Macaca mulatta: one gene and its partners. The protein of the gene in region 1 purifies or fractionates together with the protein of each later gene. This does not show direct contact. Links are inferred from orthologs where the notes say so. Each region holds a gene or a part of one and is shown in the gene's direction. Other genes may lie near its edges.

Evidence for each region.
Region 2: the proteins of BCL7A (region 1) and ARID1A purify together in Homo sapiens (affinity purification with mass spectrometry; 5 studies listed by BioGRID and IntAct, counting the BioPlex papers as one, with this or other methods). This does not show direct contact. The link is inferred for Macaca mulatta from reciprocal best matches to the Homo sapiens genes BCL7A and ARID1A.
Region 3: the proteins of BCL7A (region 1) and PHF10 purify together in Homo sapiens (affinity purification with mass spectrometry; 3 studies listed by BioGRID and IntAct, counting the BioPlex papers as one, with this or other methods). This does not show direct contact. The link is inferred for Macaca mulatta from reciprocal best matches to the Homo sapiens genes BCL7A and PHF10.
Region 4: the proteins of BCL7A (region 1) and PBRM1 purify together in Homo sapiens (affinity purification with mass spectrometry; 3 studies listed by BioGRID and IntAct, counting the BioPlex papers as one, with this or other methods). This does not show direct contact. The link is inferred for Macaca mulatta from reciprocal best matches to the Homo sapiens genes BCL7A and PBRM1.
Region 5: the proteins of BCL7A (region 1) and SMARCE1 purify together in Homo sapiens (affinity purification with mass spectrometry; 4 studies listed by BioGRID and IntAct, counting the BioPlex papers as one, with this or other methods). This does not show direct contact. The link is inferred for Macaca mulatta from reciprocal best matches to the Homo sapiens genes BCL7A and SMARCE1.
Region 6: the proteins of BCL7A (region 1) and SMARCD3 purify together in Homo sapiens (affinity purification with mass spectrometry; 4 studies listed by BioGRID and IntAct, counting the BioPlex papers as one, with this or other methods). This does not show direct contact. The link is inferred for Macaca mulatta from reciprocal best matches to the Homo sapiens genes BCL7A and SMARCD3.
Region 7: the proteins of BCL7A (region 1) and SMARCD2 purify together in Homo sapiens (affinity purification with mass spectrometry; 5 studies listed by BioGRID and IntAct, counting the BioPlex papers as one, with this or other methods). This does not show direct contact. The link is inferred for Macaca mulatta from reciprocal best matches to the Homo sapiens genes BCL7A and SMARCD2.

The regions. Positions count from the first base shown.
Region 1 is NC_133416.1:129,393,272-129,397,371, forward strand, and holds the start of BCL7A (B-cell CLL/lymphoma 7 protein family member A), read left to right. Parts: upstream 1-1,300; 5' UTR 1,301-1,524; coding exon 1,525-1,616; intron 1,617-4,100.
Region 2 is NC_133406.1:214,286,793-214,291,007, reverse strand, and holds the start of ARID1A (AT-rich interactive domain-containing protein 1A), read left to right. Parts: upstream 1-1,415; 5' UTR 1,416-1,467; coding exon 1,468-2,613; intron 2,614-4,215. UniProt on the Homo sapiens protein: Involved in transcriptional activation and repression of select genes by chromatin remodeling (alteration of DNA-nucleosome topology).
Region 3 is NC_133409.1:2,320,296-2,323,795, forward strand, and holds part of PHF10 (PHD finger protein 10), read left to right. Parts: intron 1-434; coding exon 435-590; intron 591-3,500. UniProt on the Homo sapiens protein: Involved in transcription activity regulation by chromatin remodeling. Belongs to the neural progenitors-specific chromatin remodeling complex (npBAF complex) and is required for the proliferation of neural progenitors.
Region 4 is NC_133407.1:116,140,845-116,144,344, reverse strand, and holds part of PBRM1 (protein polybromo-1), read left to right. Parts: intron 1-2,232; coding exon 2,233-2,418; intron 2,419-3,500. UniProt on the Homo sapiens protein: Involved in transcriptional activation and repression of select genes by chromatin remodeling (alteration of DNA-nucleosome topology). Required for the stability of the SWI/SNF chromatin remodeling complex SWI/SNF-B (PBAF).
Region 5 is NC_133421.1:65,012,063-65,015,562, reverse strand, and holds part of SMARCE1 (SWI/SNF-related matrix-associated actin-dependent regulator of chromatin subfamily E member 1), read left to right. Parts: intron 1-2,626; coding exon 2,627-2,799; intron 2,800-3,295; coding exon 3,296-3,397; intron 3,398-3,500. UniProt on the Homo sapiens protein: Involved in transcriptional activation and repression of select genes by chromatin remodeling (alteration of DNA-nucleosome topology).
Region 6 is NC_133408.1:190,675,212-190,678,711, reverse strand, and holds part of SMARCD3 (SWI/SNF-related matrix-associated actin-dependent regulator of chromatin subfamily D member 3), read left to right. Parts: coding exon 1-183; intron 184-1,943; coding exon 1,944-1,986; intron 1,987-2,805; coding exon 2,806-2,928; intron 2,929-3,045; coding exon 3,046-3,168; intron 3,169-3,418; coding exon 3,419-3,500. UniProt on the Homo sapiens protein: Involved in transcriptional activation and repression of select genes by chromatin remodeling (alteration of DNA-nucleosome topology).
Region 7 is NC_133421.1:73,629,562-73,633,061, reverse strand, and holds part of SMARCD2 (SWI/SNF-related matrix-associated actin-dependent regulator of chromatin subfamily D member 2), read left to right. Parts: intron 1-911; coding exon 912-1,067; intron 1,068-1,134; exon of another isoform or gene 1,135-1,682; coding exon 1,683-1,778; intron 1,779-1,907; coding exon 1,908-2,009; intron 2,010-2,155; coding exon 2,156-2,317; intron 2,318-2,362; exon of another isoform or gene 2,363-2,474; coding exon 2,475-2,572; exon of another isoform or gene 2,573-2,758; coding exon 2,759-2,894; exon of another isoform or gene 2,895-3,060; coding exon 3,061-3,183; exon of another isoform or gene 3,184-3,310; coding exon 3,311-3,412; intron 3,413-3,489; coding exon 3,490-3,500. UniProt on the Homo sapiens protein: Involved in transcriptional activation and repression of select genes by chromatin remodeling (alteration of DNA-nucleosome topology).

The DNA.
Region 1 (4,100 bases):
CTAACCTCAAGTGATCCGCCCGCCTCGGCCTCCCAAAGCGCTGGGAATACAGGCATGAGCCACCGCGCCCGGCTGGTATTTGTTTTTTTCTTCATTTTTCACGTCAGGAGTTTGAGTTTCAGAATAGTAAAAAGAAATGCCTAGGAAAAGGCCTGCGGTCCCTCCATTTCCTCAGTAGCGTTTTCCCCAAAGACCAAACCCTCCGGGGGAAACGTCTAGAATGAGTGACAGTTTAAGGCTGCAACCTTGAACTTTCCCGGGACTCAGTTTCCCCAGCTGTGAAATGGCTGCTGTCGGGCTCTCATCTCCAGGCCCGGGGCGCTGACATTTGGGCCACTCTCGGTCTCCCACTTCATTCTGGGAGCGCATTAGCTCTGGTCCAGCCGGTTCCGCAGCTGAACACCAAGACGCGGCACCCAGGTTACCCTGATCATCGCAGATTCCTCCCCAGGGCTCTGCTGGGAGGCCTCAAAAGCCCTCCTTGTAGATGAGACCAGCCCCTAGTACCCGCTAGGGCCATTTGGGCAATAACAGCGCCTGGTCTCAGTCTGGTACTGAAGTCAGGAGTGGCTTAAGGTGAAATCGTGGTCCTCCGGTGAAGCTCAGCGAAGACCCTCTCGCCTTGTTTATGACAAGGCAACTTCTAAGGGGACGGGGGCGGGAGGAAGAGTCCCTGTTACGATGCTGATCATCATTCAGCTTTTGCTGAGCAGAAAACTCTTTAGTACGCAAGGTCGAGAGTCTCTGGTAGTCCGCCTGGCCCCAGGCACCTTCCTACAACCCCAGTTTTCCAAAAGGACAAAGCCTGGGGCAGGCGACGTCCTAGCTCTCATTTGAACAGGGCCGCGGGCCAGCAGAGATGCGCGATGCCCAACTCTTTCCAAGAGCACCTCGCGTCCCGAACCGGCGCCTTCAACTCGGAGAAGTCAAGAGACCTGCAAGAAACTTGCACTACTGCACCCGCCGCCGCGCTCCGGGGGCAGGGCAGGGGCAGCTGGGCTGGGTCCCGGGGAACGCGTCCCCCCCGCCCCGCAGACCGGCTGTCTCCGGTGGACCCCTCGGCACCTGCGGCCTCCGAGGAAGGGTCTGCGCGCACGTCCGCAGGCCCGCCCCCGCCGCTCGCCCGGAGCCGGGGGTCGCCGTGCGCCCTTCGGCACCTCCTCGGGAGGGCGTGCGGGGCGTCCCCTCTGGGGGCGCAGGAGGCCCGGTGGCGCTGCCCGGTGGCCGCGGCGCCCGGAGGCCGCACTGCCGGCGGCGGCGGCGGCGCGGCTCCCCCTGCTCGGTGCAGCTGCCGCCCGGCGCTTGCGCACTGGGCCGGGCGCGCGGCGGCCCCGGGCTTTTTGTGTGTGTGTGTGTGTGTGTGTATGTGTGTGTGTGTGTATGTGTGTGTGAGTGTGTGCGTGTGAGAGTGCGAGTGTCTGTGCGCGAGTGAGTGAGCGGCGGGCGGGCGCGAGTGTGGCCTCCGCGGAGGGCGAGCAGGACCCGGCGGGCGCGCTCCCCAGCCTCCGTCTCCCCGCCGGAACCATGTCGGGCAGGTCGGTTCGAGCCGAGACCAGGAGCCGGGCCAAAGATGATATCAAGAGGGTCATGGCGGCGATCGAGAAAGTGCGCAAATGGTAAGCGGAGGCACCCGCCGCCCCCCCGGCCACCCCGAGCCCGAGCGCGGCTCCGGAAAGCCGCGGGGCGCAGCGCCCCGGTCGCCTGCCCTGGCCCGGCCCCGCCGCGGGCCCCGGGACTTGGCGAGGGCGGGCGGGCGGCGCGCGAGCCGGGTCACCTGCGCCAGGCGGGGGCCGCGGCCGCTGCCCAGGTGCGCTCGCGCCTGTCGCCCACCTGGCGCGGCGGTGGCGGCGGACAGGAGGCGGAGGGCGCCGGGGTCGGGCGGCTGGAGCGGCGGGGCGGCCCCCGCGGCGGCGCTCGGCTCCCGGGAGGGGGGCTCGGGGCCGGCCCCAGAAGCCATTTCGTTTTGTGCAAGTCACATGAAAGCGGCTTCCCGCGCGCCGGGGCCGCGATGCCGGCGGCGGCGGGGAAAGCGCGAGCTCCATTGTGCAGGCTCCGAGCGGGCCGCCGCCGCCGTCTCCTCCCCGCGCGCCCCGGCCCGCGCCCCGCCGCCCTCAGTCGGCCCCGGCCCGCCCGGCCGCCGGCTCCCGCCTCCCGGGCCCGGCGCCCTCGAGTCTGCGGAGTTTGCAAAGCGCGAGCCGTTTAAATTTAGCGCTTTGGGCTGCCTGGAGCGAGGGCTCTCGGCGACCAGGAAAGATGGGGGCGAGCGCCGGGCGCCAGCGGCCAGGGGCGCGGGGCGCCCACGTTCCACCCTACTCTGCGCGGCGCCCCGGGAGGGGGGCTCGGGTCAGCCGATGTTTTTGGCCAGAAGCTGTTGGTCCTGGGCCGCGGCTGCCTCTCCACACCGGGAGCTCGTGTTTGTTTTGCGGAGGGAGCCGTTGTTTTTGTTCTCTGCACTGGGGAGAGGGGGACGCGGCGGCGGCCGCGCGTGGTTTTCGGGTTCACTTTAGCGTCCCCCCGGCGTGGCCCGGTCGATATTAAGGGGATCGAACCTTTTCGCGGCCTCGTCGGGGTCTGCTCGGAATCGGCCCCTGGGCCAGGCCCGAGGCGCGAGCAGATTGCCAGGTTGGGTCAGACTTGTTGAAAACTCCCCGATCCCTGATTTCAACTTTATTGTTTTTTTCCCACGCCTTCACCGGGTCCCGGAGGGAGAGGAGCCGCGGCGACTCTGGCCCCGAGTGTCAGCGCCCGCGGGCTCGTCCCGACGCTTTATTTCGAGCTTGGAAGCCGGGCAGGCCCGGTGGCAGGGGATGTTTACGTTTGGGGGTGTCGTTTCTCGAGTAGCGCCTTGGTCTCTAAAAGCCACTGGGGGCGAGCCTCCGGTGTGGCGGTGTCACAAGTTAGCTGTCCTTTCTGAGTCAAACCCAACAAAAAAGGCAAGAGGAAAATCAATAAAGTCCACGTGCTCCCCGGCCTCCTATGGAAAGGGCTGGCTGCGATGGCCGGATGCCCGGCCGTGGGCTGGGTTTGGCTCCAGTGGGACAAAGAATTTTCAGAACCGTGAGAAGGGGAGGCTTTCCAAAGTTGAGATCCAAGTCGTCGGTGTCTCGGGAGCTCCCCTGGTACGCAGGGTGCCCGGTGCCCAACTGGAGCCATTTAAAAATGGCAGAAACAGCTGCAGGCCAACACACACACGCTGGGAAACAACCCGCAGCCCCCTCTACTGTGGGATTCCCCGCGGGAAGCCCGGAGTTGCTCCCCTCCTTGCCTCAGCCCCTGTGCAAAGAAAGAACTGGTGTCTGTGCCTGGGTCCCTTCTGTCGCCGACCTGGAGGTTGGGAAGCATCCGGCAAGCCGCCTTTCTCTGCTCAAGGAGGCGTGGTGGGGCCTCCTACCCCAGGTTCCCGGCGGGACAGAGGCTCCTGCACCCTGACAGCTGCTCCCGCAGAGCGGCCAGCTGCTCTGCCAGGAGGGCAGATGGAGAGATGGGGCTTCCCACCCCGCGGGCCCCAGGGCGGCCGGCCTGGAGACCTTCCAGCCCGCTGACCCCGCGGGGACCAGGCCTGTAGTTGGGGCTTGTGGGGCTGTGCCTCTGCGCCTCCCTGGGTTTGGGGAAACAACACCTCGTGTCCTCTGAAGACCTCAGGCTTTGGGATCTCATGGTCCAACTTCCAGTTCACTTCCTTGCCGCGACCTTCGGCATACCATTGTCACTTCTCTAACCATGGTGACCCGGGGCTCTCTGCTTGGCTTCCAGGTCCCCTCAGGTTGTTGAGGACGAGTGAGGTCATGCCTCCAAGAGCACCCCGCCCTGGGCGCAGGAGGAGCTGTTGCTCAGTGTTGTAAGGTGGACTTTGTAGAAACTTGGCTTTGAGATTTTTTTTTTTTTTGGCCCCTTCTTTTTTTTTTTTTTTTTTTTTTGAGACGGAGTCTCGCTCTGTCGCCCAAGCTGGAGTGCAGTGGCTGGATCTCAGCTCACTGCAGCTCCGCCTTCCGGGTTCCCGCCATTCTCCTGCCTCAGCCTCCCGAGTAGCTGGGACTACAGGCGCCCGCCACCTCGCCCGGCTAGTTTTTTTTTGTATTTTTTAGTAGAGACGGGGTTTC
Region 2 (4,215 bases), on another chromosome or scaffold:
ATGATCAGTTTTGACTTCAAATCCATTTTGATATTCTGATTCCATTGTTGAATGTGCTCACAACTTGACTTTTTTTTTTTTTTTTTTTTTTTTTAAGGCAAGTAGACCGAAGGCAGCTTTGGTGACTCCACTTCTTTTTAAAGTCACCCTCCTCTGCCCTCTGACTTTAAGTGACAGGCAGTTCCCTCCCCTCTTTCAATTCTGTAAAATGGGGATAATCCGGACCTCATGCCCCCAGAGCCTTGTGAGGACCGGCTAATGAGGGCAGGCGAGTGGGAAACGAATCATCTGAACAATGACCAGTCATTCCTTTGGGCTCGCAAAGAGGGTAAAAAGGCTGGGTCTTTAGCGGGGTCTGTAGAAGGCTTTGAAGACGAAAAGTGCTGTAGAGGTGCTAAACAGCAGCCAACGGACCGGGCCCGCTGCCAGGGGGTCAGGGCTGGGCCGAGGCGGCCGCGGTCTCGGGCTCTGGCCAATTTTGCAGTCGCGGGTAAAGTTCACGCTGCCCGCTCCCCTCGGTACGGCCGGGAGGGGACAGACCTGGATAGGGACGCCGGGAGGGAGGCGGCGCAGGCTCCAGAGATGCGCGGGCTCCGGGCCGGGTTTTCTCCGAAGCCTTCGGCGGCGGCGCTGCCTAGCGAAAGCGGCTAAGGGCCTGCCGCCGCCGCGGCTTGTTCTCTCCCCTCCTCCTTTGTGAGGGGTAGGGAGCGAGTCCGTTCCACGGCCTGCGCCCGCTCCGCTCTCCACTCCGGGTTTGCAAGGCGGCCGCGACGGCGCTGGGTAAAATGGCAGTGCTGAGCCTCGTGTCGGAGTGAGGGGGACTCGGAGGAGAGTGGGGCGCTCTAGCCGCTCAGTCCGGCCGACCGCTTTCTCGCCCGCCCGCTGCCGCGCCGCAGCCTCGACCCAAGCCGCGGCTGGCGAGGGAAGGCAGGGCGCCCGGCCCGGCCCGCGCTCTGACTCTGGCTCCCGGCGCCCGGGCTGCTGCCGCGCGCCCTCCAGCCCGCCCGTCCCGGGTCCCCCTCCCCCCGCTCCCTCCCTCCCTCCCCGCCCCCTCCCCCTCGCCTCCCTCCCTCCCTCCCTCCTCCTTTCTCCGGCAGCAGAAAGCGGAGAGTCACAGCGGGGCCAGGCCCTGGGGAGCGGAGCCTCCACCGCCCCCCTCATTCCCAGGCAAGGGCTTGGGGGGAATGAGCCGGGAGAGCCGGGTCCCGAGCCTACAGAGCCGGGAGCAGCTGAGCCGCCGGCGCCTCGGCCGCCGCCGCCTCCTCCTCCTCCGCCGCCGCCAGCCCGGAGCCTGAGCCGGCGGGGCGGGGGGGAGAGGAGCGAGCGCAGCGCAGCAGCGGAGCCCCGCGAGGCCCGCCCGGGCGGGTGGGGAGGGCAGCCCGGGGGACTCGGCCCCGGGGCGGGGTGGGAGGGGGGGAGAAGACGAAGACAGGGCCGGGTCTCTCCGCGGACGAGACAGCGGGGATCATGGCCGCGCAGGTCGCCCCCGCCGCCGCCAGCAGCCTGGGCAACCCGCCGCCGCCGCCGCCCTCGGAGCTGAAGAAAGCCGAGCAGCAGCAGCGGGAGGAGGCGGGGGGCGAGGCGGCGGCGGCGGCAGCGGCCGAGCGCGGGGAAATGAAGGCAGCCGCCGGGCAGGAAAGCGAGGGCCCTGCCGTGGGGCCGCCGCAGCCGCTGGGAAAGGAGCTGCAAGACGGGGCCGAGAGCAATGGGGGTGGCGGCGGCGGCGGAGCTGGCGGCGGCGGCGGGCCCGGCGCGGAGCCGGACCTGAAGAACTCGAACGGGAACGCGGGCCCTAGGCCCGCCCTGAACAATAACCTCACGGAGCCGCCCGGCGGCGGCGGTGGCGGCAGCAGCGATGGGGTGGGGGCGCCTCCTCACTCTGCCGCGGCCGCCTTGCCGCCCCCAGCCTACGGCTTCGGGCAACCCTACGGCCGGAGCCCGTCTGCCGTCGCCGCCGCCGCGGCCGCCGTCTTCCACCAACAACATGGCGGACAACAAAGCCCTGGCCTGGCAGCGCTGCAGAGCGGCGGCGGCGGGGGCCTGGAGCCCTACGCGGGGCCCCAGCAGAACTCTCACGACCACGGCTTCCCCAACCACCAGTACAACTCCTACTACCCCAACCGCAGCGCCTACCCCCCGCCCGCCCCGGCCTACGCGCTGAGCTCCCCGAGAGGTGGCACTCCGGGCTCCGGCGCGGCGGCGGCTCCCGGCTCCAAGCCGCCTCTCTCCTCCAGCGCCTCCGCCTCTTCGTCGTCTTCGTCCTTCGCTCAGCAGCGCTTCGGGGCCATGGGGGGAGGCGGCCCCTCCGCGGCCGGCGGGGGAACTCCCCAGCCCACCGCCACCCCCACCCTCAACCAACTGCTCACGTCGCCCAGCTCGGCCCGGGGCTACCAGGGCTACCCCGGGGGCGACTACGGCGGCGGGCCCCAGGACGGGGGCGCCGGCAAGGGCCCGGCGGACATGGCCTCGCAGTGCTGGGGGGCTGCGGCGGCGGCAGCGGCGGCGGCGGCGGCGGCGGCCGCCTCGGGAGGGGCCCAACAAAGGAGCCACCACGCGCCCATGAGCCCCGGGAGCAGCGGCGGCGGGGGGCAGCCGCTCGCCCGGACCCCTCAGGTACACAGCTGAGTGGGGAGGGGGCTGGGGCGAGCGTGGTCCTGGGGGTGGGTGGCGGCTGCGGTCAGCGGGCCACAGCCTTGGGCTCCCCTCAGTCTCGGGCCCCCACTGCTGGGGAGCTGCCATTGTCTGGCTCTTCTCTCTTAAAATGGCTGCCTGTCTGCCTTCCTCTCCTTTCCTCCTCCAGCCTTTGTGTCGGGCTTTCCCAGAGGTGTCTGCTTCTCTTGTTCCTCTCCCTTGGTCCCTTCGAACTCCAGGGGTCTTGATGGGGGTGCGGGGCAGAGTGTGTGGGGAAGGGCCTGGCCGGGAGTGAGGGGGTGCTGGGGGCTCAGGTTAGGAGTGTAGGCAGTGGTAGGAACCCAGGAGTTGAATGAACGTTTCTTTGCTCACCTGCCGCTCCTCTCCGTCCCCCGGCCTTCCTCTGGGCCGCCCCCCATCTGTGCTTTCAAAGAGGGCCCCTAGAGCTCGGAGGGACCTCGAGGGAGGGCAGGGGACTGCTTGGGAGCTGCTAGAGGCCGGCTGCGGTTCACCTAGGGCAGCCCTTGCCATCTCCTGTCTTAGGCTCCGCCGGCCCAGTGGCCTGGGCTTCTCTCTGGAAGTGCTGGTAAACAGCTGAGTGATTGGAGTAGTAAGTGCAGATTGCTTTGGTTTGGGATTTGAATTATGGAGGTAAAATCCTTCTGTCAAAGCCAGGAGACAGTTGGTCTTAGGTTGACATCCTATCTGTGATCTGATTGGCTCCCCATCTCCTGCTCTTGGCCATTTATAATTGCCTCTGATGTAATGGTACAACAATCCTGATGAGCTCATAAACTTTTACACTCTGCTTTTCTGCCAGTGATAACCCAAACCATCGCTGCCACTATCTGCCTTTTATTCCAGAGCTGAAATTGGCTGTGACCTTGAGGAGGGAGGTTTAAGTAGCAATACTGTATCAGCAGGAGCAAAGCCTCAGACAGCCTGCCCTTGTTACATTGTGCCCGAAACAAAAGAGGGGGCAATGGCATTTTGCTTGTACCTTGGATTTATTTTGCTTGTTATGTTTTATGCAGCCTGAAATGAATTCTGTGTTGTCAGAACAGTAGCTGAGTTTTTTCTCTACAATGGGTTTGCTGTTTGTTTTGGTTTTGTGACTTTCCTGATGGTATAAATGACTTCTTTGATGGCTCTGAAGATGCATTTGTCTTGAGTAATTTTGACACTGGTTGCTTTGCAGAATTGAAATGATTTTACTGGGGTTTTTATTGAGTGGCAAATGTGGGATCTTTGTGGGTGGGGGAGAAAACAATTTTCGTTTTTTAGTTTTTTTTTTTTAAGAACTGGGAGCTTTCTGAGGAATTTTATATTAGGTTCAAGCATTCTGTGTTATGGAAGGCTGGCCTCATTCTTTGTTTACATGTTGAATCTTGTTAACACTTTCTTTTGTTAATTGAACTTTGGAATAGCAGCTTAATTTAAACGGAAGTTGGTGTCTTTCATGATCTTGAGGGACTTTCTCCTAAAGGCTTGGTTTGGTGAAATTGTTTTTTCCTGGAATAACAAAAAGTCTAGTTTTCTGTTTTGTCATCAGTCATTTTAGAGCTTTGAAATAGAGACTGGCCA
Region 3 (3,500 bases), on another chromosome or scaffold:
TTCATTTTTCCTGAAGGACCTTCTTAATGACTTTTAGTACTCAGTGAAAATACCCACACTTATTTGTAACAATATATTTTTGTGTGAAACAAATATGTTCCCTTGTGACATGGAAAATGATGTTGAAGCTGTGTGCCGTATAATAGTAGCTGAAGCGGATAATTGCATTTTTGTGACTTAGGTCAGAAAACAAAGTTGATGAAGGCACTGATATGAATGCAATCAGTTTTATACCATATCATACTTAGAAGAAAGATGAATGATTTTTAACATAAGTTACTTTAGTCTCCACTGGAAAAAACTTTCTTACATTTAGAATGATCTTTTTATTTTTAAATTGATAAGGCTTTAAAACTTTTTTTGAGTATTTTCCATAGTTTTCAAAATCCAGACTCAATTCCAAAGAATCTTTGTTTTTGCCTTTTAAACTCCAGGACAGCTCCTCTGGCAATGTATCTGAAGGAGAAAGCGCTCCTGACAGCCAGGAGGACTCTTTCCAGGGAAGACAGAAATCAAAAGACAAAGCTGCCACTCCAAGAAAAGATGGTCCCAAACGTTCTGTACTGTCCAAGTCAGTTCCTGGGTACAAGGTAGAAGAAAAAAGCCCCTGACTCAGCTTCTTTACTGACCAGCCTCTCTCCCTGAAATGTTTTCACTTGACTTTCACGATTGTGGAGCTTCTGCCTGCTGTACTTCACTAGCTGTTCTTCTATGGTGTGCCCTCTGTCTGCTGCTTTCTTTTGTGCTTTATTTCCTTGGTGGCTTTTCTGTCACTTTTGGCTATGGTTTAGCTTCTGTTTTCTGTATATGTACAATTTATAAGTCTTTTTTTTTCTTTGAAATAATAACCAGGCAAGTATGGGTTTTTAAAACATTATTTCATAGGCAGAAGTTTATATTTTCTTTCCTTGGAGTAAAGATCATAATTATTTGGCATTTTAAATGCCCCAGCATTTAGTGTAGCTAAAGCTGCTGAGCTGAAGTATGAGTGGGTATACTGTTAGACTAAGTTGCATTTTTTAGTGCCTTTCATTAAGAAAGATCTGGGTTTAATCTAAGGATTACTTGATCCATATGCTAAATTTAGCTAACTCTGGGATAGAAAATAATAAAACCTGTTATTTACATTGTGTGATTTTTAGCATAACCTTGGTAAAGAGCCTATATGATTCTATGACAAGAATTAAAACATACTTGTTAACTTGTTGATCTGATTATCCTCAGAGTAAAGTTGTAGGTTGTCAGCAACTATTATTATATTTTGAACGTTTCCTCCCTCTGTCTGCCCCTCCCTTTTCTTTTGAAGAAAAGGTGAGGTGAGAGGTGTGTAGCCTTATTTGCATATAGGGATTTAAGAATATCATAAAAGGAAGAATTAGCTGTACAGTTTCATATTTGGGATGGTGGTAGTAAAATATACTACCTTTTGATTCTTTGGTCTGAAATGTATTAGAACATGCTTTTATTGCACTTATGAAGGTGTATTGAAGGAAAATTTTAGAGTAAGCTGATGAGGAAGTTTTGCCAAGTGAAATTGTTAAACACCTTGTATGTCAGAACTGTGATTGTGATAAATAATTCACAAGAACAGGCTGAAGTTAGTCACCTTTCCGTCAAACTAACTAGAACACGTTCTAACATGTTCATTTACCTTTCTTCAAGTAAAAAAAGTGACCTATTAGTGTATTTCATGTTTTATTAGAAAATGCTTTTATGTAAATAACTTAAATTTTTTTTTTTTTTTGGTAGCCTGTAGCAAGCAAATTTTAAGCTTAATTGAGCAAGGGTTGGCTTCCAAGGGTGGCTGCAATAGGCTGCAGCTATGTGATTTTTGTACTTGTTTTTACATATAAAGCTTATCTAATTTCTTTAAATATATAAACTAATGCTTAATAACTGAAAGCAAGTGAGCTCCAAAGATGAAATTTCAGAAACAGTGTACATGAATGAGTGTGTTCTACTGGTCTGCTAAGAGCTTTAAATGGAAGTGGCCGCTCAAAGCACAGTGTCCTGTTAACTCTTGAGTGCTAAGTAGATCTTTCCAACAGTAAGCTTGATTGATCATGGGTTAAAAAGAGAGAATATTGAAATAGATGTTTTAATACAGGCTGGAAATGAACTATTTAACACTATCATTGATTTACTATACAAGAAATCATATAGATTAACTGAACCTAATAGTACTCAAGTAGGATATGCAAAATTTATATTTTACATAATCTGTGAACATTTTTAGTACCTAAAAATGTTTCAGGTATTTCAAAGATGGGAACAACCAGTATCTAGTCATACATTAATGTGAACAGGTTTATTAAAAGTTAACCTCTTTATAAAAAGTATTAATAAACCAAGATGTGCCTAAATATTAGGGTACTTCAAGCTAAAGGTCATGTTTTATATATATATTTATATATATATATAAAATATGAGATTCAAGAAAGTAATGTATCTGTCGGGTTGCTTAATAAGATTCACTAGTGCTTGCCCTTAATTCGTAGGACCGTATTGTTTAGGTTACATTAACCTGAAATTTAAAGCATAATTATTAGGATTCCAGCCTATAAATATATAATTAAAATCTATACTATATTATTGCTACCATGAAAGTCTTATCTTTGGCTGTTTTTCAAGTAGAAAAGTAAGTGTACTGTGAGCCTTTTATTTGAGATGCTGAGAGCTATTAGGATGAGTATTTCAATTTTCTTGTCAGTAGTGAAACTGATGATGTTGCAGTTATTTGAAGTAGAACTGATTGTCTCAACCAGACACACATGGGAGTGTGTTCCATTGGCCTTGGGGAGAGTGCTGCACATTAACCCCTCCCTCAACTGTGCAATCCACTGAGACTGGCTTCTCTAAGCCACGGTTGTTATCTGCTGTGTGAAGTCCTGGATGCCAGCACTGTGGCTTCTTAGAGAGGGCAGATGCTTTGTATATTGAGCTGCAGCATTCATCACAGAAAATGCTACAAAGCTGTCTCTCTTCCCCTTCTCTCATGTTGCCCTGTTTTCCTCAAGATGAAGACTGTTGGGTAAGAAAAACTAAGTGATTTAACAAAGCATTATGATTTAAACTTAGAAATAAACCTAGAATTTTTTGGTGTCCCTTTATCATAGGTGTTTAATGTATATTTTAATGATTGTAGAACTTGAATTGCTCTAGAATGTGAATGACTACCCTTGTGTTTTATTCCTTTTGGCTTTTGTTTTGTAAAGAATCTCCTATGAGGAGTTCTGTTTTTAGAATTTAATATTGTTTGGTTACTTCCCTGACTTTAGTGAAAGATATTAGAGTATTTACTATGCCAGTATCTAACTTAAACTATGAGTATTAAATAAGTATATCTTTTACATTTAGTACAGGTACCATAACCAAAAGAGATTTCTTAGTTTTGATGGATTAAGAGATAGCATTCTGCTGTATATTATGGCAGGTACAGATATGATTACAAAACTGAACCAGAATTTGGATTATAGAAGTGCACTTCCTAGCTGTTTTTT
Region 4 (3,500 bases), on another chromosome or scaffold:
ACAACTACATTATTTCAATAGATGTAGAAAAGGCTTTTGGCATGTTAAAAACTCTAGATAAACTAGGTATTAAAGGAACATACCTCTAAATAATAAGAGCCATCTATTACAAAGCCACCCAACATACTGAAATGACCAAAAGCTGGAAACATTCCCTTTGAAAACCGATACAAGAGAAGAATGCTGTCTCCCACCACTCCTATTCAACATAGTATTAGAAGTCCTGGCCAGGGCAGTCAGGTAAGAGAGAGAAATAAAGGGCATTCAAGTAGGAAGAGGGGAAGTCAAACTACATCTGTTTGCAGATGACATAATTCTATATCTAATAAACCCATAGTCTCAGCCCAAAAGCTCCTTCAGCTGATAAACTTCAGCAAAGTATCAGGATACACAATCAGTGTACAAAAATCACTATCATTCTTATACCAATAGCAGCCAAGCCACGAGCCAGATCAGGAACACATTCTCATTCACAACTGCCACAAAAAGAATAAAATACCTAGAGATACAGCTAACCAGGGAGGTAAAAGATCCCTACAATGAGAATTACTCACTGCCCAAAGAAATCAGAGATGACAGAAGCAAATGAAAAAACATTCCATGCTCATGGATAGGAAGAATCAATGTTATTAAAATGGCCATACTGCCCAAAGCAATTTACAGATTCAATGCTAATCCTATCAAATCACCGATGACATTCTTCACAGAACTAGAAAAACTATTTTAAAATTTAGATAGGCACAGTGACTCACGCCTGTAATCCCAGCACTTTAGGAGGCCAAGGCAGCCGGATCACTTGAGGTCAGGAGTTCAAGACTGGGTGACAGAGTGAGACTCCATCTAAAAAAAGAAAAAAAAAAAAAATGTTTCCAGAAGAATAAAATAAATAACATTTAAAATGCTGATTATTAGCTCTTCCGTTTATGGAAAATTAACCTAAGGAAGTAATCAAAAATTTGGGCAAAGCCTTATCCTCAATAAAAACCTTATGATATTTGCAAATGATAGCTTGTACTGGAACTTTTTTTTTTTTCTTTTTTTGAGACAGAGTCTTGCTGTGTCACCCAGTCTGGAGTGCAGTGGTGCGGTCTTGGTTCACTACAACATTCACCTCCCAGGTTTAAGCGATTCTTCTGTCTCAACCTCCCAAGTAGCTGGGACTACAGGCACCCGCCACCATGCTGGCTAATTTTTTTATATTTTTAGTAGAGACGAGGTTTCACCATGTTGGCCAGGCTGGCCTTGAACTCTTGACCTCAAGTGATCTGCCTGCCTCGGCTCCCAAAGTGCTGTGATTACTGGCATGAGCTACTGCTCCCGGCGTGTACTGGAACTAATAAGTTTTACTTAACAAAAATAAAAGTCGGCTGGGCACAGTGGCTCACACCTGTAATCGCACAGTTTTGGGAGGCTGAGGCGGGCAGATCTGAGGTTGGGAGATCGAGACCAGCCTGACCAACATGGAGAAACCCATCTCTACTAAAAATACAAAATTAGCCGGGCATGGTGGTGCATGCCTGTAATCCCAGCTACTCGGGAGGCTGAGGCAGGAGACTCGCTTGAACCTGGAAGGCGGAGGTTGCGGTGAGCTGAGATTGTGCCACTGCACTCCAGCCTGGGCAACAAGAGCGAAACTCCATCTCAAAAAAAATAAATAAAAATAAAAGTCATTTTGAAAAAAGCATTTCCTGTCAGGGCAAGTGTTCATGATATATTAAATATATATACATATATATATAGTTTTTTGTAGAATATACATATTCCATATTTCTTCAATTCTATGACTGCATTAAATGTGTCATATTTGTGTAATAACTTGTTAGTGAAATGAAACACATTGAGAAGCCTTAAGGTGGAAGTGAAGTATATCAGAGATTATCTCTAGAAATACCTGATTTGAAACGACGTATGTACTTCTTTGTGCCTTTCAATATTATCCGAAATGACCATGTGATCATTTATTAGTAAGATGATGTTTTTATTCTATACATCCTTTGTGTAGTTACATATTCATTTAAATTAATGATGGTTGTAATTCAAAAATACAGTTTTGAGTAGAGGCTATTAGGAATGTAAAGATCATACTGTTGCTGATTCCTGCCTTCGCACGTTGCAAATGGAATTAAATGTATTGAATGTATTATTAGTATGTGTTGTTTGAATCCTACATCTGACTCCAGCATCCCTTTGGTGAGTACTTTTTTCCTTTATTTATTTATTTTTTTACCTAAGAAGCTGAAAAGAGTGAAGATTCCTCTGGTGCTGCAGGCCTTTCAGGCTTACATCGCACATACAGCCAGGATTGTAGCTTTAAAAACAGCATGTACCATGTTGGAGATTATGTCTATGTGGAACCTGCAGAGGCCAACCTACAACCACATATAGTCTGTATTGAAAGACTGTGGGAGGATTCAGCTGGTAAGTTTGTTTTAAATCAAAGAACAGTTTAGTGAGATATGACTATTTGACTTCTCCTTGCTCTTCAGGGAAGAAAATTTTAACTCAAATATCTTATGCCTTTCCATAATAATTGTTCAATATATCAATAAATGTAAGTAAGCACCCATCATATGAAAAACATAGGACCTATTGGGCAGTGTCATAGTTGAGTCAAAAGAAATACAGCTTCTTAAAGTCTGGTTGAAATTCATTCGTTCAGTTGATACTTATTAAAAACATACTTTGAGCCAACCTTTCTGTGGAGTGACAGAGATTCAAAAGAACAAAAAGTTCATGTTTTTCCCTTGCAAAACTACTCCAGTAAGGAAGATTATGATCAAAAAAGAAATTATTATAGAATGACATGCCTTGGCTTGGCATTTGTTTTCAAAAAGGCTTTCTAGAACAGTTGCCTTTAAATTGAGACATAGAGTATGCATAGAAGTTAATGAAACCAAAAGTTGGTGGAAATGTGATCCAGGCAGTCCAGTTCTTTGAGCTGTTTATCACATGAAATACTTTTGTATTCCTTCACCAGAGAGGTAAATATGTCCTTCAGTAGTATATGTCTACCCTTACTAAAGTGCACAACTCTAGGTATGTACTAACCAGAGCACAGTGGAGCAGGTCTCATCACCTGTCCTCCTCATTATATATTTTATATGGCTTTTAATATGAAGAAGAGCCTGGGTAACATGGCAAGACCGCTTCTCTAGAAAAAATAAGAAAATTAGCAGGGCATGGTCGCACTTGCTGTGGTCCAGGCAACTTGAGAGGCTGAGGCAGGATGATCACTTGAGCCCAAGAGGTTGAGGGTGTATATATATATGAGGGGGAAATAGTAGCATGCATTTTTTAGGCCTCATTACACTTTATTATTTTAGAGTATTATTTCTCCTATGGATAATTATATTAAACTGTAGCTGTAAAAATAAGCACAGTGCTAGGTTCAGATCATGGCAGAATGGATTGATGGTATATTTCCTAATTTTGCAAAGAATGTGTGATTTCTGAGCTGGACACAGTGACTTATACTTGTAGTCCCAGCTACTCAGGAGGCT
Region 5 (3,500 bases), on another chromosome or scaffold:
AAAGCAGGAGGATTGCTTGTGGCCAAGAGTTTGAGACCAGCCTGGGCAACACAGCAAGACTCTGTCTCTACAGAATACTTAAAAATTAGCTGGGCATGGTGGCTTGTGCCTGTAGTCCCAGCTGCTCCAACTGAGGCTGAGGTGGGAGGATCAATTGAGCCCAGGAGTTCGAGACTGCAGTGAGCTATGATCATGCCACTGCCCTCCATCCTGGATGACAGAGCAATACCCAGTCTCAAAAAAAAAAAAAAAAGAGGGCATGTGCAATTATCTACACAAGACAATGAAGGCTTTTGTTCAATGAGAGCCTCTTCATGGGATAAATAGCTGTTCAATTAGATCATAATTAGAAAAGCCATTCCCCGAAAAAAGGAAGCAGATGACTTACATGCAAGGAAGAACAAGCCCAAATTCTTAGACCTTATTACCCCATCTGTGGTCAACACTGGGGCCATATAAATGAAAGAAGAAAATAAAAAATAACAAAAACAGATAACTTAGACAGACGTAGCACAGATATACCACATATAACCCTAAAGGTGAAAAACTCTTAAAAAGTAGAAAGATTACAGAGTTTTTAAAAAAACTGTATCTTACCTAATAGTTTTAATTTCAGAAGTTTATTTCCTAAAGGAATTACTCAAAAGGAAAGAAAAGTAATTTTTTTAACTTTTTACAAAAACAACAGTTTTTAGCTATAGTATTTATGATAATGAGAATTTTAGGAACTGCTTAAGTGCAAGACAATAAGAGAGGTGCTAAACTGACATAGGAGCACCACAAAGGCCTCTAACAGGGTTCCCTCTAACAGGCTTTCCTCTGTAACAGGCTTCCCTCTGTAACGGGGTTTCCTCTGTAACAGGGTTCCCTCTGTAACGGGGTTTCCTCTGTAACAGGGTGTCCTCTGTAACAGGCTTCCCTCTGTAACGGGCTTCCCTCTGTAACGGGCTTCCCTCTGTGACGGGCTTCCCTCTGTGACGGGCTTCCCTCTGTGACAGGCTTCCCTCTGTAACAGGCTTCCCTCTGTGACAGGGTGTCCTCTGTAACAGGCTTCCCTCTGTGACAGGGTGTCCTCTGTAACAGGGTGTCCTCTGTAACAGGCTTCCTTCTGTAACGGGCTTCCCTCTGTAACGGGGTTTCCTCTGTGACGGGCTTCCCTCTGTGACGGGCTTCCCTCTGTGACAGGCTTCCCTCTGTAACAGGGTGTCCTCTGTAACAGGCTTCCCTCTGTAACAGGCTTCCCTCTGTAATGGGGTTTCCTCTGTGACAGGCTTTCCTCTGTGACAGGGTTCCCTCTGTGACAGGCTTCCCTCTGTGACAGGGTTCCCTCTGTGACAGGGTTCCCTCTGTGACAGGCTTTCCTCTGTGACAGGGTTCCCTCTGTGACAGGGTTCCCTCTGTAACGGGCTTTCTCCTCTGTAACGGGCTTTCTCCTCTGTAACGGGGTTTCCTCTGTAATGGGGTTTCCTCTGTAACAGGGTTTCCTCTGTAATAAGGTTTGCTCAAGTATGGTTCCTCCCTGTCTGGTGGGACACTGAGGTGATTAAGTGGGTCAAAAAGGAGCATTTGTTTTGTATGTATTGCTACAGAGAAAGCTTTTTTTTTTTTAAATGAGTTAGTTTAAAGAAAAATATTAAGTAAACAATAGTACAGGCTGTTAGTAGATATATGAAAAACTATGAAGGCGATAGAGCAAAGACTGAGATTAAGGAAACACTAGATACCTATTAAAAATAAGCATATAGGGTGTGCGCAGTGGCTCACACCTGTAATCCCAGCACTTTGGGAGGCCAGGATGGGCGTATCATGTGAGGTCAGGAGTTCAAGACCGCCGTGGCCAACATGGTGAAATCCTATCTCTACTAAAAATACAGAAATTGGCTGGGCATGGTGTCATGTGCCTGTAATTCCAGCCACTTGGGAGGCTGAGGCACAAGAATCGGTTGAACCCGGGAGGTGGAGGTTGCAGTGAGCCGAGATTGGGCCACTGCACTCCAGCCTGGGTAACGGAGTGAGATTCTGTCTCAAAACAAAACAAAACAGAAGCATATAAACCAGACCCGTACAGCTGGCTAAGTGTAAACTGACAAAAATTAAATTTGGAATCAAAACATTTATTTTTCTTCTATAAAATTCCTTGAGGGCCTGGGAAACTGAATATTGTTAGAGATGATGTTTCCTCTGCTGTGATAATTTTACAAACTGGCATTTTCATAAAGTCACTGCCCAGTTCATATGTTGTTCGTTAGTTGTTAAATGCCTTAAGTCACTACCAAGAAAGTGAAACATTGGGCAGAATTTCAATTACTGCCATCACATGCAGCTTTCACATTGATTCCAAAGCCAGAAGAGACATGTTGTATCTCATTTATGTTTTAGCCAAAGCCTTCTCAGACACACATCATCACTTAAAGACTGTGAGATAAATTACTACCTTGGCCAGTGAACACATTACGTCCTCTGTATGGTTTTTATCAAGTAACTGCCCAGTGCTCCCATGACGCTGGTCAGGTCCCCTTGTTAGGCCAGCAAGGGCCATGGTTCCTTGATAATTAAGTGTTAACATGTTACACTCCTTTTTATGGTTACTGGTGACCTACTTTGCAGAACAATTTGTTCATTGCAGATTATGATGATGGCTTTTCAATGAAGCATACAGCCACCGCCCGTTTCCAGAGAAACCACCGCCTCATCAGTGAAATTCTTAGTGAGAGTGTGGTGCCAGACGTTCGGTCAGTTGTCACAACAGCTAGAATGCAGGTCCTCAAACGGCAGGTCCAGTCCTTAATGGTTCATCAGGTAAAGTCATAAAACTTTCAATAAAATGGACCTATACCACAAATCCCAGCTGACGTGATTCCTACACCATGCCTAAATGTACCTGTTAAATATGTCAGTCTAAACTGTTCCTGATTTGGAGAAGAGGTTTAAGGAAGTGGACCTTTCCCAAATGTTTAATAAGTTTGTCATTAAAAACTATAATATAGAACCTTGTAATGGAAGGTATATTTGTTAAGAAGTACATGTGAACTTAAGAATTTTGAGGCGTCCTATCAGTCTTTACTGCTCTACTAAATACTTTTTCCAAAGGAATTGCTCAGGCCTGAAACAGTATTCTTTAACATTTACCTATTGATCATAATCATTTCTTTGTGCTGCATTTTGTATTTTTTAAATCTTAGCTAGACTCATGTAATAAATGATCTAAAGTTCAAAACATTATTTGGTACACTGTTTGAAAGTATGAACCATTAAAACAGGAGATATGATTGTAAAGCCTGATCCTGTCTTGCAGCGAAAACTAGAAGCTGAACTTCTTCAAATAGAGGAACGACACCAGGAGAAGAAGAGGAAATTCCTGGAAAGCACAGATTCATTTAACAATGAACTTAAAAGGGTATCTGTTTAATATGTTAACTATACTTTTATCACCGTACCTGTTACTTTACTTTTCCTCATTCTTTTTTCCAAAATAATATTTTTATTGAATGTTGTTCACT
Region 6 (3,500 bases), on another chromosome or scaffold:
GCCCCACCAGGGGGCGCCCATGGGCCCCCCGGGCTCCCCCTACATGGGCAGCCCCGCCGTGCGACCCGGCCTGGCCCCCGCGGGCATGGAGCCCGCCCGTAAGCGAGCAGCGCCCCCGCCCGGGCAGAGCCAGGCACAGAGCCAGGGCCAGCCGGTGCCCACCGCCCCCGCGCGGAGCCGCAGGTGAGTGGGAGGCCCGGCGCGGAGGGGGCGTGCAGGGGCGGGCCCTGGGGACCCGCAGGGACCAGGTGAGAGAGTAGCGGGGATTGGAAGAGGTGAGGAAGAATGATTAGCAGGGAGCGAGGCTTCCCGGATCGGATGCCCTCTGGGGAGGTGGGCTTAGGGGGCACCGGCCTGATTCTTTTGTGTGCCCACGGTAGAGACAGGCTGTGGCCGTCGGCAGCCGGTACCGCTTCCCTGCACGTTCCCCTCACCCTTCTCCTTGTCACCTGCTCAGTCCCTCTCTCCACCCATCAGGTTCTGGGTGATGCTTCAGTCTTTGGGTTGGGGGCGGGGCTTCCAGTGGGACTGAGGGCAGAGCTGTAGGACTGTGTTGCCCAAAGTGTAGTTCTCCGCTGAGCCTTCCTGCCAGACCCCGGACTGTTTCAAAGCCACTCCAGATTTTCTCAATGGGACTCTCTGGCCCTGGGGGTGGAGCTTGGGGATTTGCCCTGTGGTAGGTGGTCTCTGCCCAGTTCCGCTCTTAATTCTTAGGCACTCTGGACCAGGTCTGCTCCCAAGCCACCAGGGCCAGCCCATTGCCTTATTTTCCTCCAGCAGCTGGTGGCACCCTTAAAGCCCCTGCTGGCTCCTGGCAACAGCAGTGCCCCTCTGGATTTCAGTATTTAGCCAAATACACATGCTTTTTTTGCACAACAGATGGATTTCTATAAAAGGTGTAATATCAATTTTACCTCATTATTAAGTATTTTTTACACATCAGGTAAAATTCACCACTTATAGGAATCCCATGATGAATTATTTTGTAAAGTGCATCGTCATTTTGTACAGCAAACGGTAATTCCCTGATTTATCTTGTATAAATGGAGAGTTACACAAAGATAATCTGTCTAAAACAAACCAGACCTTTAATGAAATCTGCTTGTTAGCCTTAGATTTCTGCATAGGGAGGGGGTAGTGGTTGAGAACACCACACGGGGGCAGTATGGAGCTATTCTCTAGGCTGCGTTTTCATCTCTTGACCCGCCAAGGTTTTTCTGGGGGTTTTTGGGTTAGTCAGCAGCAGCTAGTGGGTCAGAAAGAGCTCACATCCAGCTGCTACTACCCTGGGCCTAGTCAGTTTGGCCTCAGCCTGAAGTCACACCCATGCACATTCTGGGCGCCTATGGCTGCAGCATGTCCCTCACCTTGTTGCCAGGTAGTCCCAGGGCATGAGTACCCCTGCTCATCAGCATTCTCTTGCAAGCCCAGGGTGCCTGGAAGGGATGCAAGTCCCGCCAGCTTCACACCATCACCTCCCGCTCCATGGATAGGAAGGAAGTCGTCTATCTCCCTCCCTCTGAGCTTAGAATCCTTTGGACAGGGCACCCCCTGCTTTCCAGAAAAGGTCCTCAGACCTGGCTTCCCTCTCCTTTGTCCTCCCTCATCCCCACCTTTCCTCAAACACTTCTGCAGCTCCCATCTTTTGGCAGCACCACCCCCACTCGCCAGTCCCTCCTAAGTCTAAATTTCTCTGTCCCTAAGGATGTGGCAGGTTAGAAGGGGGCTCCCAGGCCAGAGAATGGACGGGTCACCCCTGTGTCCTTAGAGAGGACAGAGCACCAGTTCCACACACCACCGTCATAGCCCTTGGGCGGGCAGACAAGCGGGCTGTGGGAACCCCAGCCAGGCGGGCGGAGATGTCGGGATAATTTAGCAGGTGGCCTCGTTACTCCCAGATCTGTCGCCATGGTAACCTGGTTTTTTCTTTAAAAAATGTACAGTGCCAAGAGGAGGAAGATGGCTGACAAAATCCTCCCTCAAAGGGTGAGTGTCTTTCACAGCAGCCCCCAGCCCACCCCCTACCCTTTGCTGCTCTGCCCTCCCCTCCCCCCTCAAAAGCAGAGCTTCAGTGTCACAGTCACTTTCACTTTTTGTTTAAAAAAACTCATTAGTAAGTGAGGCTCCCTAGGCCAGAGGGAGGGGGTGAGGTGGAGGGAAGCAGCAGAGCCACTGGGGCCAGAACACAGGGGCCTGTCAGGGGGCTGGATCCAAGTGGTACTAAGACAGAGTTGTGGGACAAGAAGGGGGCAAGAGCTAGGGGATCAAAAGCTGCCAGGCAGAATGAAGGGGATAGAAGGTGGCCAGAGATCCTGAGCATCCTAAAGGGACCCAGGTCCAGCTGGATATGGGGGACAGCACAGTTGGGACAGGTGTGGGGGCTGAGCAATGTGCCAGCAAAGAAGAAAGCACTGCTGTCCAACTGTCCCAGGGATTGAGCCCCTACTAGGCACTTTGCAGGGGCCCAGGGGAAGCCCAGTGGGCATATGACATAGAAAATGACAGGATGAGGAGACTAAAGGCTAGTGCTTTGCTGGGTTCCACAGTTGCTACCTCCTCCCCGTGATGATACACAAGGCTCTTCCTAAAGGGAGAAGCAATTGTTATCCCTACACAGCAAGGCCCCTACTGCTGGATAATGGCATCCTGGGGAGAGGTCCTGTTCCCACTGTCAAAGCTCCATGCCCAGAAGTAGGATGGCTCCCCCGACATCTTTTGCACCCTAGGATTGCACAACATGCATACATTCCATGGTACAACCCTGGACTCGAGCCTCTGACTCCTGCCCTGCTCCTCCTCCTCCAGATTCGGGAGCTGGTCCCCGAGTCCCAGGCTTACATGGACCTCTTGGCATTTGAGAGGAAACTGGATCAAACCATCATGCGGAAGCGGGTGGACATCCAGGAGGCTCTGAAGAGGCCCATGAAGGTGCCTTAGTTCGGGGGTAGGAAGGGGACTCTTGAGTCGCGTGACCAGGATGGGGAAGCAAGGTAGTCAGGGTGGAAGCACACAGCATTTGCCAGGTTCTACACTCTATTTCTACAGCAAAAGCGGAAGCTGCGTCTCTATATCTCCAACACTTTTAACCCTGCGAAGCCTGACGCTGAGGACTCCGATGGCAGCATTGCCTCCTGGGAGCTACGGGTGGAGGGGAAGCTCCTGGATGATGTACGTCCCGGCCCAGGTCTCTCCAGGTGTCCTGGGGTGGGCACGGGCTGCACTGAGAACAGAACAAAGTGTCTGCACTAAGGGCTAGGGAGTCAGCCCAGGCTGGGGAGGTGGGGGCAGGCCTAGAGACATTCCAGGTGCAGAGGATTTCATCTAAGCCCACTGCCCTGTCTGCTGCCAACTTGGCCTCCTTCTGCTTCTCCCACCCTGTCCCTGTTCTGCCCCCATGGTTCCTGTTCCTCTCCCACAGCCCAGCAAACAGAAGCGGAAGTTCTCTTCTTTCTTCAAGAGTTTGGTCATCGAGCTGGACAAAGATCTTTATGGTCCTGACA
Region 7 (3,500 bases), on another chromosome or scaffold:
TCTCGCTCTTTCACTCAGGCTGGAGTGCAGTGGTACAATCTCGGCTCACTGCAACCTTCACATCCCAGGTTCAAGCAATTCTCCTTGCCTCAGCCTCCCGAGTAACTAGCATTACAGACGCCCATCACCACGCCTGGCTAATTTTTGTATTTTTAGTATCACCATGGTGCCCAGGCTGGTCTCGAACTCCTGACTGCCTCGGCCTCCCAAAGTGCTAAGATGACAGAGCCACTGCACCCAGCCGAGAAACTTTCCTTAATAATAATCTAGAACCGTCCTGAGTGGGGAAGGCTTTCCAGGAGACTAGGATATTTTGGGGCCGTGATGGGTGTTTGGGTATCATGTAAGATGTGAGCCAGAGGCCTCCGCGTTGCCATTGCACCAGTTCCACTGTGCTGGCGTTGTTGGTGATGCATCTCTTTCCCCATAAAATGGTGAGTTCCGGCCGGGTGTGGCGGCTCACGCCTGTAATCTCAGCACTTTAGGGGGCCGAAGTGGGTAGATCACCTGAGGTCAGGAGTTCGAGACCAGCCTTGCCTTGCCAACATGTTGAAACACCATCTTTACTAAAAACACAAAAAAATTAGCTGGGCATGGTGGCATGCACCTGTAGTCCCAGCTACTCAGGAGGCTGAGACAAGAGAATTGCTTGAACCCAGGAGTCAGAGGTTGCAAGTGAGCTGAGATCACGCCACTGCACTCCAGCCTGGGTGACAGAGTGAGACCATGTCCTAAAAAAAAAAAAGGCTGGGACTGGGACTTACTACTTACTTCTGATTCCCAGTGCCTGACAAGGTGCCTGGCTGGCCCATGGTGCTCAGTATTGATTGTTGAATGTTCATATCAGAAGATGGCGTAGCAGTGTCCCAACGTCTTGGTCCACTTCCAGTTGATTGTCTTTCTCTCTTTAGCAAAAGCGAAAGCTTCGGATCTACATTTCCAATACGTTCAGTCCCAGCAAGGCAGAAGGCGATAGTGCAGGAACTGCAGGGACCCCTGGGGGAACCCCAGCAGGGGACAAGGTGGCTTCCTGGGAACTCCGAGTGGAAGGAAAACTGCTGGATGATGTGAGTTGGGGAGGGAGGTATCTGGAGGGAAGGAGGCCTGTGTGGGTTTAAGACTGGGACCAAAGAGTTTGAGACTAGCCTGAGCAGCAGAGCCAGACCCCGTCTCTACAAAAAATTTAAAAATTAGCTGGGTGTGGTGCATGCGTCTATAGTCCCAGCTACTGGTAAGGCTGGCGCAGGAGGATGGCTTGAGCCCAGGAGGTCGAGCTTCAGTGAATTATGATCACACCACTGCACTTTAGCCTGGGTGACACAGTGAGATTGCGTCTCAAAAAAAAAAAAAAAGACTGGGCGAGACACTTGGGCGCTCCCAGAGAAGTCCTGCCATAGAGAGGGGGCACTGCTCCAAGCCCATTGGAGGTTGATTTGCGTGGTTATTACAATGTTCCTGCAGATGGCAGTCGAGTGTCTCCAGGAAGTCCCTCGTGGGCTGCAAGAGGGCGCCATTTCCCTGCCTCCAGTCTGCCCAGAGTCCTGCTTCCATTCTTCAGGGCCCCAGGAATCTTCAGTACCCTGAGCTCCAGGGCTGAAATGGGGCTTCTTGTTCTTGGGATTTAGCATAGCTTGAGATTTGAGAGCTCAGCAGCACCATCTCACACCCCTTTCCATCTCCAGCCTAGCAAACAGAAGAGGAAGTTTTCTTCATTCTTTAAGAGCCTCGTCATTGAGCTGGACAAGGAGCTGTATGGGCCTGACAATCACCTGGTGGAGGTGAGAGTGGGCCTGGGGCAGAGGCAGGCTGACATGCAGGTTTGGCAGGGAAATGGCCTCAGGGCCCTTGGGAGGCCCTGTGTTCATGCCCACCCCCTTGGTGATAAGCCATGTTCCCCTCCCTGCCAGTGGCACCGGATGCCCACCACCCAGGAGACAGATGGCTTCCAGGTAAAACGGCCTGGAGACCTCAACGTCAAGTGCACCCTCCTGCTCATGCTGGATCATCAGGTGACAGAGGCCCTGGGGTCATTTCTGGGGCCACAAGGACCCCTCAGGAGGGGAGTTGGTTCCTATAAACCTTCCTGTCCCTGCCCTATTTTCCCGCTTTGTTTTACTGCAAGAACCCATCCTGACTCCCCTCCATCCAACTTTAGCCTCCCCAGTACAAATTGGACCCCCGATTGGCAAGGCTGCTGGGAGTGCACACACAGACGAGGGCCGCTATCATGCAGGCCCTGTGGCTTTACATCAAGCACAACCAGCTGCAGGATGGGCACGAACGGGAATACATCAACTGCAACCGTTACTTCCGCCAGGTTAGCCAGATGCCAGCCCCCCTGTTATCTCAGCCCTTGCCTTGCCTGCTGGGCTACTTCTTGGCCACAGCCTCCAGACTGCTGCCCTCACTGGTCCTGGAATGGTCCACTCCCCTGTGCCCACAAGGCAACGCTGAGCCTTTGGTATTTCCTCCAGATCTTCAGTTGTGGCCGACTCCGTTTCTCCGAGATTCCCATGAAGCTGGCGGGGTTGCTGCAGCATCCGGACCCCATTGTCATCAACCATGTCATTAGGTAAATGCAAGGAGCGGGACAGGAAGGCTCTTTTAACAGCAGATTCACCCTTGGCTTGAACTGAAGCCAAAGAGAGCATCAGGTTTCTTGCTCCCTGAGTATGTGCAGAGAATGGGCCCTAGCTTTGGCCCAGGTGGGCAGGATGAAGACAGCTATGTGCCTTCCCTCCCCATGTGCTGCCTGCAGTGTGGACCCTAACGACCAGAAGAAGACAGCCTGTTATGACATTGATGTGGAGGTGGACGACCCACTGAAGGCCCAGATGAGCAATTTTCTGGCCTCTACCACCAATCAGCAGGAGATCGCTTCCCTTGATGTCAAGGTGGGCCCTCTGGCTCCACAGCTTCCTCTGGGGCCCAGGATTGGAGTGGGCTGGATCTGTCCAGCATTTCCATACATGTAGCACCTAGGGGATGGGATGGGAACTCTGGCTCAGTCATTTGCATTTAAGCTTTGGGGGCAGAGTCTGACACATGTACCCTCTCCAGATTCATGAGACCATCGAGTCCATCAACCAGCTGAAGACCCAGAGAGATTTCATGCTCAGTTTTAGCACCGATCCCCAGGACTTCATCCAGGAATGGCTCCGTTCCCAGCGCCGAGACCTCAAGGTGTAGTCCTCTTTCCCGAGGGGATTCCTTTGTAAAGCTCTGGGTGATTTTTACCCACAGCAGTTCCCAGGGTGGGTTGGCCCAGGGCTGGGGATTATGCTATGGCTTTCCTTCTGGCTCTTTGCAGATCATCACTGATGTGATTGGAAATCCTGAGGAGGAGAGACGAGCTGCTTTCTACCACCAGCCCTGGGCCCAGGAAGCAGTAGGCAGGCACATCTTTGCCAAGGTGAGGCGCTGCCTTGTTTTCCCTCCTTTGGCCCTGAGTAGTAAACGCCTGAGCTACTTGGTCTCTCCCTTCTCCAGGTGCAGCAGCG